3 linked regions of the Oryctolagus cuniculus genome follow. The protein of the gene in region 1 interacts with the protein of each later gene in a biochemical or structural test. Links are inferred from orthologs where the notes say so. Each region holds a gene or a part of one and is shown in the gene's direction. Other genes may lie near its edges.

The links.
Region 2: the proteins of SMAD3 (region 1) and TFE3 form a complex in vitro, tested with the Homo sapiens proteins (2 studies listed by BioGRID). The link is inferred for Oryctolagus cuniculus from reciprocal best matches to the Homo sapiens genes SMAD3 and TFE3.
Region 3: the proteins of SMAD3 (region 1) and MECOM form a complex in vitro, tested with the Homo sapiens proteins (2 studies listed by BioGRID). The link is inferred for Oryctolagus cuniculus from reciprocal best matches to the Homo sapiens genes SMAD3 and MECOM.

Annotation. Positions count from the first base shown.
Region 1 is NC_091443.1:89,858,266-89,862,010, forward strand, and holds the start of SMAD3 (mothers against decapentaplegic homolog 3), read left to right. Parts: upstream 1-1,118; 5' UTR 1,119-1,674; coding exon 1,675-1,880; intron 1,881-2,251; exon of another isoform or gene 2,252-2,334; intron 2,335-2,394; exon of another isoform or gene 2,395-2,791; coding exon of another isoform or gene 2,792-2,799; intron 2,800-3,745. UniProt on the Homo sapiens protein: Receptor-regulated SMAD (R-SMAD) that is an intracellular signal transducer and transcriptional modulator activated by TGF-beta (transforming growth factor) and activin type 1 receptor kinases.
Region 2 is NC_091453.1:34,191,121-34,194,865, reverse strand, and holds the start of TFE3 (transcription factor E3), read left to right. Parts: upstream 1-1,202; 5' UTR 1,203-1,513; coding exon 1,514-1,629; intron 1,630-2,483; exon of another isoform or gene 2,484-2,505; intron 2,506-3,745. UniProt on the Homo sapiens protein: Transcription factor that acts as a master regulator of lysosomal biogenesis and immune response.
Region 3 is NC_091435.1:111,194,958-111,198,602, forward strand, and holds part of MECOM (histone-lysine N-methyltransferase MECOM), read left to right. Parts: intron 1-1,249; coding exon 1,250-2,606; intron 2,607-3,645.

The DNA of each region.
Region 1 (3,745 bases):
GAGGGCGAGGAGCACCTGGCTGTGCGGAGGCTACGGGGCGGGCTAGGCCAGGGCCCCTGCAGCTTCTGGGCTGACTTTGTGGATTCGGCCACACCTCACAGGGCTTTGTAACTTCCCACCACTTGAGGGTTTGCAGATAACTTCTTTCTCACCACTGGGGGTTTCCTGCTGTTAAAAACAAACAAAGGCCTTACCCACCAGGGTGGCCTCACAGGGGAGGCCCCTGCAAAGGCAGGCGCTGGGGTAACTCCAGACAGCCCCGAGGAAGGGCTCCTGGATTCTGCGGGTGGGGAGGAAAGCTAGGAGCCCGCCCCCTCCCCCGGTGTGTGTGTGTGTGGGGGGGCGCTGAGTGCCTCAGCTCCCGGAGAACTCAGCACTTTAGTGCGGGGGTTTCAGATTTCGGATCTAGCTGTCTCTGAGTGTGCAACACCCGGTAATGTGACTTTCACCCAGAGACACATTCTAACGCGCCCCCGTTCATTCCTTCACGAACTCAACAGATGTCTTTTGAGGCCCTTTTGCTGCCAAGTACTTGGTTCACAAGGCTCAAGGGAACCCCCCCCCTCAGCTATTGTGCGCGCTGTCACCCGAGTCCTCGCAAACGCCATTTCCCAGGGCCCAGTGTCCCCTCTCTCAGCTCCCGCTCCGCAGTCTCGGTGTGACCTCACAAGCCCCTGGGTCGCGGGCGCCTGCCAAGACCCCTGCCCAGGATCGGCACACACGAGACTAAGTGCGCGCCCCGACCCCCTCGGCCTCGAGTCGGAGTCCGCTCAAGGTCCGACGGCGCCTCCTCGCCCCCGTCCTGCCCGCGACTCCAACCGAGCTCGGGCCCCCGCCTGGGGCCCCTCCGCCCGCCCGTTTCCCGGGACTTCCTCCCCCGCGCACGCTCGGCTGCGGGCCGCGGCCGCGCGGGGTACGGCGCGCTCCAGCCGGGCCCGTCGCCGCCCCCGGTCGCCCACGTGGGCGCGCTCGGCGCGGGGCGGGGGAAGGCCGGGCGGCCTCGGCGGAGCAGGGGCGGGCAGGGCGCCCGGGGGAGGAGGCGGGGAGCCCGGGCGGCGAGGGGGCGGTGACAGCGCTAGGCCGGGAGGCTGCACGCGGATTTGCATGAAACATAGACTGGGAGCGGGCGGGAGCGGGAGCGCCGCGCACGCCCCGGGCCGGCCCCGCGAGCGAACGAGCGCGCCGGGAGGAGGAGGAGGAGGGAAGCGGGGAGGCGAGGCCGCAGAGGCGGAGGGATCTGCGCATCAAAGCGAGCGAGGCGAGCAAAGTTTGGCTGGGGGCTGGACTTTCCTTCCCGGAGGCGGCACCCAAACAGCTACCCCGTGCGGAAACCCAAACTTTGTGCTGCCACTCCGAGCCTCGCGGCCGCTGCCTCCGCCCCACGCTCGGGGCCTTCCCGACCCAGCGCCGCCGCCCGCCCGCCCGCTCGCCCGCCGGCCGCCCTTCTCCGCCCCGTGGGAGCCGTTCGCTCGCGCGCAGGGCCGCGCGCCGAGCCCCGCAGGCTGCAGCGCCGCGGCCCGGCCCTGCGCACGGGGCAAGTTCGCCCGGAGTTGAGGCGAAGTTTGGGGCGGCCGCGGCCGGCCCGAGCCGAGCTCCCTTCTTGCGCCCCCGGCGCCCCGCCGCGCCCAGCCCCGCCGGGGGCGCCCCCTCGCCGCCCGCGCGCCCTCCCCAGCCATGTCGTCCATCCTGCCCTTCACCCCGCCGATCGTGAAGCGCCTGCTGGGCTGGAAGAAGGGCGAGCAGAACGGGCAGGAGGAGAAGTGGTGTGAGAAGGCGGTCAAGAGCCTGGTTAAGAAGCTCAAGAAGACGGGGCAGCTGGACGAGCTGGAGAAGGCCATCACCACGCAGAACGTCAACACCAAGTGCATCACCATCCCCAGGTGGGGGCCCGGGGTTGCGCCGGCCCAGCCCCCTTGGCGCGGCGCGGGTGGAGAGCCGGGACCCGCGGGCGTGCGCGGGGCAGCGGGAGCCTGGCCGGGGGGTGGGGGAGGGAGACCCCAAACAAAACCTCCTTCTGGGAGCGCGAGGCTTCCACGCGGCACTCTGGCTTCCAGACCGCACCTTCGCTTTCCACCTCCGGGATGGGGGTGCGGCGGGTTTGGGGCGGGGGCGGGCGCTGGTGGTGGTGGTGGTGTTGCTGGGATCGGCCGCCCCCAGCCCGGGGAGCTACCGAGTCCAAGTTGAGGCCCGCTTTGTTCGGCTCCGCGGGCGGGAGCCCCTCCCCCGCCGCCGCCGCCTCCCGCCCCCGCGGCCCGCGCTCGCGGAGGTGTAGCTGCCATTCTCCGCGGCGGCCGGGTCCCCTCGCGTCTTTCCGCCTCTGCAGGAATGCAGTCGGTACAGCTGGGGCGGTGGGTGCGGAGCCCTAGCCGCGTGATGGACAGATGCCTTCTTCGCTCTTTCTTTGCCTTTGGGATTAGCATTTGTATCGAGTATTTTTAGACTGGGTTGTGCCAGCCTCCCGCCCCGCTGTGCGCGCACGCCCTGGAGTTGCTGCGCAGGGCTCTGACTTCTTCGAAACGGGAGGTGCGAGTGGCAAGGCCACGGGGTCTTCTCCGTGAGCCCGCCGCCCTGCCCGCACCTTTGCCCTCCATTGTGGTCTGAGACGCTGCAGATCGGTGCAGAACGGAGAGGGGGGCTGGAGCCGCGCAGACACAGCCGCCCCGGAGTGGGCCTCGCGTCCGCCTTCGCATTCCTGTGGAGCCCTCACTCTCAAAGCGCTTTGCCATCTGTCGGGACCGCCTTTATCCTTGCCCGGCGCGAGCCGAGGCTGGCGGGCGCTCACAGATGGCTGATGGAAGGGTCAGTGACTTCTGACACCCCGGGGCCTTCCAGCGCTCAGCCGCGCCTGCTTGGAGATCGGGGTGGGAAGATGGGGGGGGGGGGGGAGGGCTTGGCCCTGCGTCTCTGCTTCTCAGCCCTATTTGGAGTCCGGTTCTGACCCAAGTGGGGCGGGCGCGGGTGGTGGGGACGCCGCAGCCTGGGGGGTCCCGGGCTGCAGAGGAATGAGGAATGGCCCCGCAGGGACTGTCAGCCTCGCTTCTGGGCACGGGTGGACTCCTCTGTCCTTGGCCACCTGCTTGGGGCAGCTGTGCAAGGGCTGCCAGCTGTGTGAGGCAGGCACAAAGCAACATCTGTCCGCAGGAACGCAGGGCAGGCCTCCCCTGCAAATAAATGCTGGGCATGGTGGCAGGGCTGACTTAAGAAGTAGTGAGTTGTGCTTTTTTTTTTTCTTTCCCCTAAAATGGGTGGATCCAGTCAAGAGAGGCGGTGTGCTTTGTGGGGAAGGCACTGTGGGCCGGGGGTCGGGAGCCAGAGTGGACTTCAGAGGAGGTGGTGTAATGGGATGGGCAGAGAAACTTGGGTTTTGGGCCCGCCTCTGGTTTTTAATTCTTTTTTATCCCTTTGGTGGGGGCCCCACCGGTAGAATGGGGGTCTTGGGGGGGTGCTTCTCTCCTGCTCCATGTTTGCCTGGGTGGGTGGAGGACACACAGGCTTAATTTATTCGTGGAAATGGGCAGTGGGGTGGGGGTGGGATGGGTTATAAAACAGGCAGCTGTGCAAAGTGTTCTACAGTTTACAAAGCACTTTCACGTGGTTTTACGAGGTCCTCGAAGAAAGAGACCCATGCCTGGAAAACAGATAAGGCAGCCGGGCTGGAGATGATCTCATTTTCCAAGCGGAGAACACTGGAGCAGGGAGGTGGGCAGGCTTGATCCAGGGGCTGCGCCTTCTGCCGCCCTGTGCT
Region 2 (3,745 bases), on another chromosome or scaffold:
ACATTTAAAGCATCATCAGAATGTTAACACCGGTTTACAAGTTCCATTTTGGAATTTTGATTGGAATGTACTTATTTTTTAAAGGTCAGTTTGGCCAAGAACTGTCATCTTTATTACATGGAGGTTGTATGTGCACGCATAGATCGGCTTGTTTATCAAGCCAATGGACAGATCTGGGAAATAAAAGTGCTAGCCACAAGAAGGTGCAAGGCAAACAGAAGCCCGGTTTCCGCAGGCCCAGCTGAAGAAAGAAGCTTAGGTGTACAAGGTGTTCTGCAAGCTATGTGCACCTGAAAATATGAACAGGAGCTTCCACTGCGTGTAACACCAATGGTAGTTGGAGGGGCTTAATACACGTTGGATGAACGAACAAATGAGCTAAACAGTTTCTGGAGGGCTTCTTGTATGCCAAACAACCTGCTAGTGCTTTTCATGATTTATCACTAATCCCAACAACCCTGCCAGACAGGGGGTATGAACCCCTTGACAAGCCAGAAAAGCTAAGGCTAGCAGAGGGGCTCCTTATGATCCCAGAAGTCAATCACCGGCGGGACCAGATCTAAATCTCATCCATCTGTCCATCCATCCATCCATCTGTTAAGGATTTATTAAGCATCTACTGCGTGGCACAACGACCATAGTACAACAACCGCTCTAGATGCCGTGCAAAGGCGCAAGGCTCCCTAGAAGCCCAGATGGGCGGCTGGACTGCGAGTACTGAGGGCGGAGTTTCTGACCCGCACTTGCAGGGAATGTCGCTGCCTCTGCCTCATAGTTATGGCTTTGGCCAGGGAGCAAGGCAAGATCCAGGCTGGAGCGCAGTCTAGGGCGCAAATTATTACAAATGTTGGCCGGGAGGGAGCGCACTTCCACAGCCGTAAACTTGACCTAGACACCCTTTAGGCGCCGACCGGTCACCAGCGCGCAGGCGCGGGGCAGTCTAGGAGCGGCTTAATGTTGTGCGGGGAGGTGGAATAATTTGAGAGGAGGGGGAGCGGCTCAGAAAGTGATGCAAGCAGGAGGTGTGGCTTAAGCAAATTACATTTTGCCTATTTGCTCCTGCCACTGAAGGCGGGGCCTAGGTGCTCCCTTCTCGGAACGAGGCTGGGCCAAATGTAGTTTTCCCTTCGCGTAGGAGGCGTGGCTTAGGGTGGGCCTTCGAACCGCACTCAGAGATAGGCCGCCTCACTAGGGGGTGTGGCCCGATGAGCCGTCCATCGCCTGTGTGGTCACTTCCTGTGGAGTTTCCCCAGCCCCGGGAGGAGGGGGAAGAGGACGAGGGGGAGGAGGGCGGTCGTCCGGGGTTAGGTTGGGGGGGTGTCGGTCCGTTCAGGGCGGGGGATGACTCACGGCCCATCCCATCTCTCCGACGCCGCCCGCCCGCGCAGAACTGGCTCCATGGCTTAGCAGAGGAGGAGGCGGTGGCGAGCGGGGGGAAGGGGACTCTTATTTTGTTAGGGGGACCGGGCCGAGGCCCGACCGGCCTGGCAGGGCTCGCCCGGGACCGGGCGTCATGTCTCATGCGGCCGAGCCAGCTCGGGACGGCGTAGAGGCCAGCGCGGAGGGCCCCCGAGCCGTGTTCGTGCTATTGGAGGAGCGCAGGCCAGCCGACTCGGCCCAGCTGCTCAGGTGCGGGGCCGCCTGGGGCCGGGAGTGCAGACTGGGGTCTGATCTGGGGGCAGCGGGAACTCCAGACTAGGATTCTAGGCCCTTGGCCTAGCCCTTGAGGACATCGGGGTACCCGTCTTGGGTGGGGGGGCACCTAAGGAATCCGGCAGTGGCCTGCCTGACCGAGGCTTAAAGCAGTAGTGGGAGTGCAGATTCGGGGGGCTCTTGACTGAGCCTAGAGGGTCGGATTCTGGAGTATCCAGAACCTGGTGAACTTGGGGGACTGGGATTCTGGTTATAGGATGAATCTGACGTCTTTGGGCCGGGTGTGAGGGGAATGAATTTGAGGGGACACTGTCAGCCGAAGCACTGATTTTAAGGAAATCCTGGAATCTTTTTCCTTCAGTGTTGGTGAAGGGGTCCTGGGGGGGGGGGACACAGGTGCTGTCTTGGCAGCTTGGTGACTCCCAGTGGCTGGTAGCTGTGTTTGGGACTAACATGAATCGGGTCGGTTTGGGGGTGTCTCCGATGTGCCGTGTGAATGAGTATGCGTGAACGAGCTAGAAGAGCAAAACATTCAGCAAGACTTGGGCATAACAATCCTTTCACCTCTGCCCACCCAGCCAGCCGGGGCAGATCTCAGGGATAGTGGGAAAGCCCTCTTCCCATACTCCTTAGGGGCTTGAATGGGAAGCGGCCTGGCAGACTTGAGGGCATGGGGATGATGTTACCTCTTAGCCCAGAAAAAGCCTCAGACCTTATTTGGGAACCCAGAGGGTCTTGTTGCTATTGTCACTCAGGCGGCCCTGCCCACACACCCCTCTGCTGTTGATCTCGCCCTCCCTGTCCATCCCTCCCTTCCTGGGGAGGTGATCTTGACTCCCTTCTAGAGCTGGAGTGAGTACCGACTACGCTGTCCCTGCCTGGGTGGGTCTTTGCTGGCCTCCTCTCATCTAGTGGGCCTTGGAGTCCCAGCCCTCCTGTCCACACCCTTGCCCACTCCCCCCCACCCCGCGCCCCTCTCTTCCAACTTGTGTGCAGGGTGTGTGTGTGTGTGTGTTCCTGGGAGGGGGCTTTGCCTCTTCTCTCTGCCCGGGATTGTGCTGAGCTCAGCGGCTCCGGGAGCTTCCTCTTCCTGGGTGGTTTTAGGGCCCCATCTGAGGGTGAGGAGAGGAAGGAAGACAGATCCTTGGGGAGGGGAGAGAATTCTTGTCAAGTGAAGTCACAATCTCTGAGGGACTGAAAGTCTTGGACTAAATTCCAGGGTGCACGTGCGTGGTAGTGGCCCCCCCATGCCAGGGTCCTGGCACCCAGCGCGGAGGGCTGAGCAGGAGCCTCTCAGTATATATCAGTTCAGTGCCTTTGAACTCCTTTGTAACAGCCTGGATCACAGCAGTGGGCAGACTTGAAAGGGAGGGGCGTTTATGACTTCTTACTTTGTGTGCCAGTGGGTGTTGGTGTTGGGGTGGGGGGAGGTTGTGTTTTGATCTCTGAAAAAAAAAAAAAAAGCAGGTGAGGGCAGGGCCGGCTCCTGCGGTGAAGAAAAGAAAAGAATGCTCTATAAAGCAGATCATCCACTTAGATCGATCCCCCTCGTGCAAACCCAGAGTGTGGAAGTCTTTGATATTTCCATTTTTATATTTGGGTGTGTGTTGGCAGCCCATGAACTCTGGCTGGGGCTGGGAAAAAACTCCTTTGGGAAGTGGTAGCTTCTTACGTAAAGCAAATCACAGACCCCGGGTTCTCTTTGGGATGCAGTCAGTGTTGTGTTTACAAGGGACTGTTCTGGCTGAGGGATGCCCCCACCTGGTGTGTGTGTGTGTGTGTGTGTGTACACGCATGTGGGCTCACATTCAACTGTCAGGAAAACAGTAGAGGGTGTGGGGGCTGGGAGGACTTTGACTGCAGAGTCAGGGATCCTTGTGTCAAGTGAATTGGCATTCCTAACTCCTTTGCTTTTCCTCGTGCTCAGGTGGTTGTTACAAGTGATTGTTAGAGTGAGGGGATTGGGATCCAGGCACCCATTATTCTGACTCTTAGGGACGGGGGGTTGAGGACGGGAGAGGGCTGGCAGATGTGGGGATTCTTGGTGGTGGTACCCAGCAGGGTGGCCAACTCTATAGGTCTCTCTCTCTCT
Region 3 (3,645 bases), on another chromosome or scaffold:
TTTCTGCATGTATTAAACATGCACAGAAACATTAAAGTAAACTCACATGGACGATTAGCTCATTTACAGCAAAGGAAAATAAAATAAAATACGATACTTTGAAACAGATATCATAAGCCTGCTGACCTGTGAAGTGAGTGGGATTCTTTCTTAGCAAGGGAATCCTTCGGGGTTGCAAAGTTTGGTCTTAAAATATGCTTAGATCTGATGACACATCCATGAAGAAGAAAGACATTCCACTTTCTTGGTAAATTCCTGGCAAAGGGGGCTATTTCACAGCCGTACCCACTGCTGCGTCGTCCTTGCTGGATTGGAGCACTCCCAGCCCTCTCCCCTGCTTACCACAGTTGGCTGTCACACATAGAAGTCAAGGCCTGAGATAACGGGTGAAGATAGGACAACAGTGGACATGTTTCCCAGGAACGGGGGTTTCATAAATGCAGGAAGATTAGCACAGCCACTGGTGTGAGGGGAAGTCAGAGGACGTGATCATAGTTCATGGGAACCAGCAATGCAGGATGGGCTACATTCAATTTAGTTTCCTTTGCAGGCTTAAAATAGAGCCATTGTAAATTATGTCAGTCTTTCTCAAATCATGAAAATGATTGTTAAAAAAAGTCTCAGAATACACAATGTGCATTGTTATGTGGCTTTGATGTGTGAATGATGAGAGTGTATGATATAATGCTAATTAAATAACAGTAGAGCAGGCACAGATATTCTCTTCAAGGGGAGAGGTATTAAAGTGAAATTTCTGGATGAGGGAAAGGCCGTTCTATTTTGTCTTGGGTCCTACGATGTAGAATTCTTTAACTTGTCTAAAATTAAAAGGGTTCCTTTTATGCTTCATACCTAATATATCTTAAGACTTGTGATTTTTTTTAAAGATTCTATTAGTGTCATTATTGGGTGGGGAGTCAGTGCATGCTGGAATTTGACTTTTTCGGAAAGATTTAAATACACAAATATTATGCAAAATATTGTGCAGTGGGGGAATGACAAAATCTTTAAATATATATATATATATATATGGAATATTTGTGCTGCCTGGAGACATTTGTCAGGTTGGATGCCTTGCTTTGGAATCTAGTAAAATGGGGGTTTTCTGTGTTTGGAGCATCCAGATTGTACCCCCGATATCTTTTCCTGGCTTCTTAATTGAAATTTGGGGTAAACCAATTGTGATACTTGCTAAATTCAGAAGCAATTGCCATAAAGCCTGAGATTCTTTTTTGTTGTTTGCACACAGGTGAGGTCTGCCATAAATCCTATACTCAGTTTTCAAACCTTTGTCGACATAAGCGCATGCATGCTGATTGCAGAACCCAAATCAAGTGCAAAGACTGTGGACAAATGTTCAGCACTACGTCTTCCTTAAATAAACACAGGAGGTTTTGTGAGGGCAAGAACCATTTTGCGGCAGGTGGATTTTTTGGCCAAGGCATTTCACTTCCTGGAACCCCAGCTATGGATAAAACGTCCATGGTTAATATGAGTCATGCCAACCCGGGCCTTGCTGACTATTTTGGCGCCAATAGGCATCCTGCTGGTCTTACCTTTCCAACAGCTCCTGGATTTTCTTTTAGCTTCCCTGGTCTGTTTCCTTCCGGCTTGTACCACAGGCCTCCTTTGATACCTGCTAGTTCTCCTGTTAAAGGACTATCAAGTACTGAACAGACAAACAAAAGTCAAAGTCCCCTCATGACACATCCTCAGATACTGCCAGCTACACAGGATATTTTGAAGGCACTCTCTAAACACCCACCTGTAGGGGACAATAAGCCAGTGGAGCTCCAGGCCGAGAGGTCCTCTGAAGAGAGGCCCCTTGAGAAAATCAGTGACCAGTCAGAGAGTAGTGACCTTGATGATGTCAGTACACCAAGTGGCAGTGACCTGGAAACCACCTCGGGCTCTGATCTGGAAAGTGACATTGAAAGTGATAAAGAAAAATTTAAAGAAAATGGTAAAATGTTCAAAGACAAAGTAAGCCCTCTGCAGAATCTGGCTTCAATAAATAATAAGAAAGAATACAGCAATCATTCCATTTTCTCACCATCTTTAGAGGAGCAAACTGCGGTGTCAGGAGCTGTGAATGATTCTATAAAGGCTATTGCTTCTATTGCTGAAAAATACTTTGGTTCAACAGGACTGGTGGGGCTGCAAGACAAAAAAGTTGGAGCTTTACCTTACCCTTCCATGTTTCCCCTCCCATTTTTTCCAGCATTCTCTCAATCAATGTACCCATTTCCTGATAGAGACTTGAGATCGTTACCTTTGAAAATGGAACCCCAATCACCAAATGAAGTAAAGAAACTGCAGAAGGGCAGCTCTGAGTCCCCCTTTGATCTCACCACTAAACGAAAGGATGAGAAGCCCTTGACTCCAGTCCCTTCCAAGCCTCCAGCCACGCCTGCCACAAGCCAAGACCAGCCCCTGGATCTAAGTATGGGCAGTAGGAGTAGAGCCAGTGGGACGAAGCTAACTGAGCCTCGGAAAAACCATGTGTTTGGGGAAAAGAAAGGCAACAATGTTGAATCAAGACCAGCTTCAGATGGTTCCTTGCAACATGCCAGGCCCACTCCTTTCTTTATGGACCCTATTTACAGGTAAGGGCCAGTAGGAGATGATGAAATGTGAGTGCAGATACGAAAGGTGGTTTTAACACTACAAACTCCCATCTTCCCCAAAAGGTTTTTTATTATTATTATTATTATGAGAGAGTCAAGTTGTTTGATCTAGTGAAATCTGTTTTTTTTTTTTTTTAATTCAGAAAATTGGCTCTGTAGGTTTCGACTCATTTTTGGATATCTCTGAGTTTGGAATAAGCCAACAGAATTTCTTTCCCATGACAATAAATTTATTTTTAAACATTGTTTTTTTGGAGTGGAAAATATGTAAAAGTTGTATTTGAAGTGATTTGTCAAGTGGCAGAAGAATGATACTCCTGGAGGATTAATGCAAACATGTATGGGTACCTTTATATGCAAGAGTCTACTCTGTGTTAACCCATCAACACATCCTTTGCATCTGTTCTGTTTCTCAATAGATTTCTTAAGAGCTCTAAGTAAATGTAATGTTAATCACAAAAATCTGTTTTGTATATAACATGAGTAGTTCTCCTAAAAGAATCTCTATTTTTTACAATGATTTATTTATTTATATGAAAGGAAGAGAGAGAGAGAGAGGTCTTCCATCCATTGGTTCACTCTCCAAATGACCACAACAGCCGGAGCAGGGCCCATATGAAGCCAGGAGCCTGGATCTTCTTCCAGGTCTCCCATGTGGGTGCAGGGGCCCAAAGACTTGGACCATTTTCTACTACTTTTCCAAGCACGTTAGCAGAGAGCTAGATCAGAAGTGGAGCAGCCAGGACTTGAACTAGAGCCCATATGGGATGCAGCACTGCAGGTGGCGTGTTCACCCACAACGCCACAATGCCGGGCCCAGAATCTATATTTAATGGCTTAATTATTCAGGTTTGTTTATGAATCCAAAAATTCTTTAGGTGAAATTACGTATTTAATAAAATACCTCTTAGGCAGTATTCTGCAATAGTTACTTAACCATTCAAAGTGATTTAGCTTATTTCTTTCAATTTCTCTCTCTCTCTCTCTCTCTCACACACACACACACACACACACACAC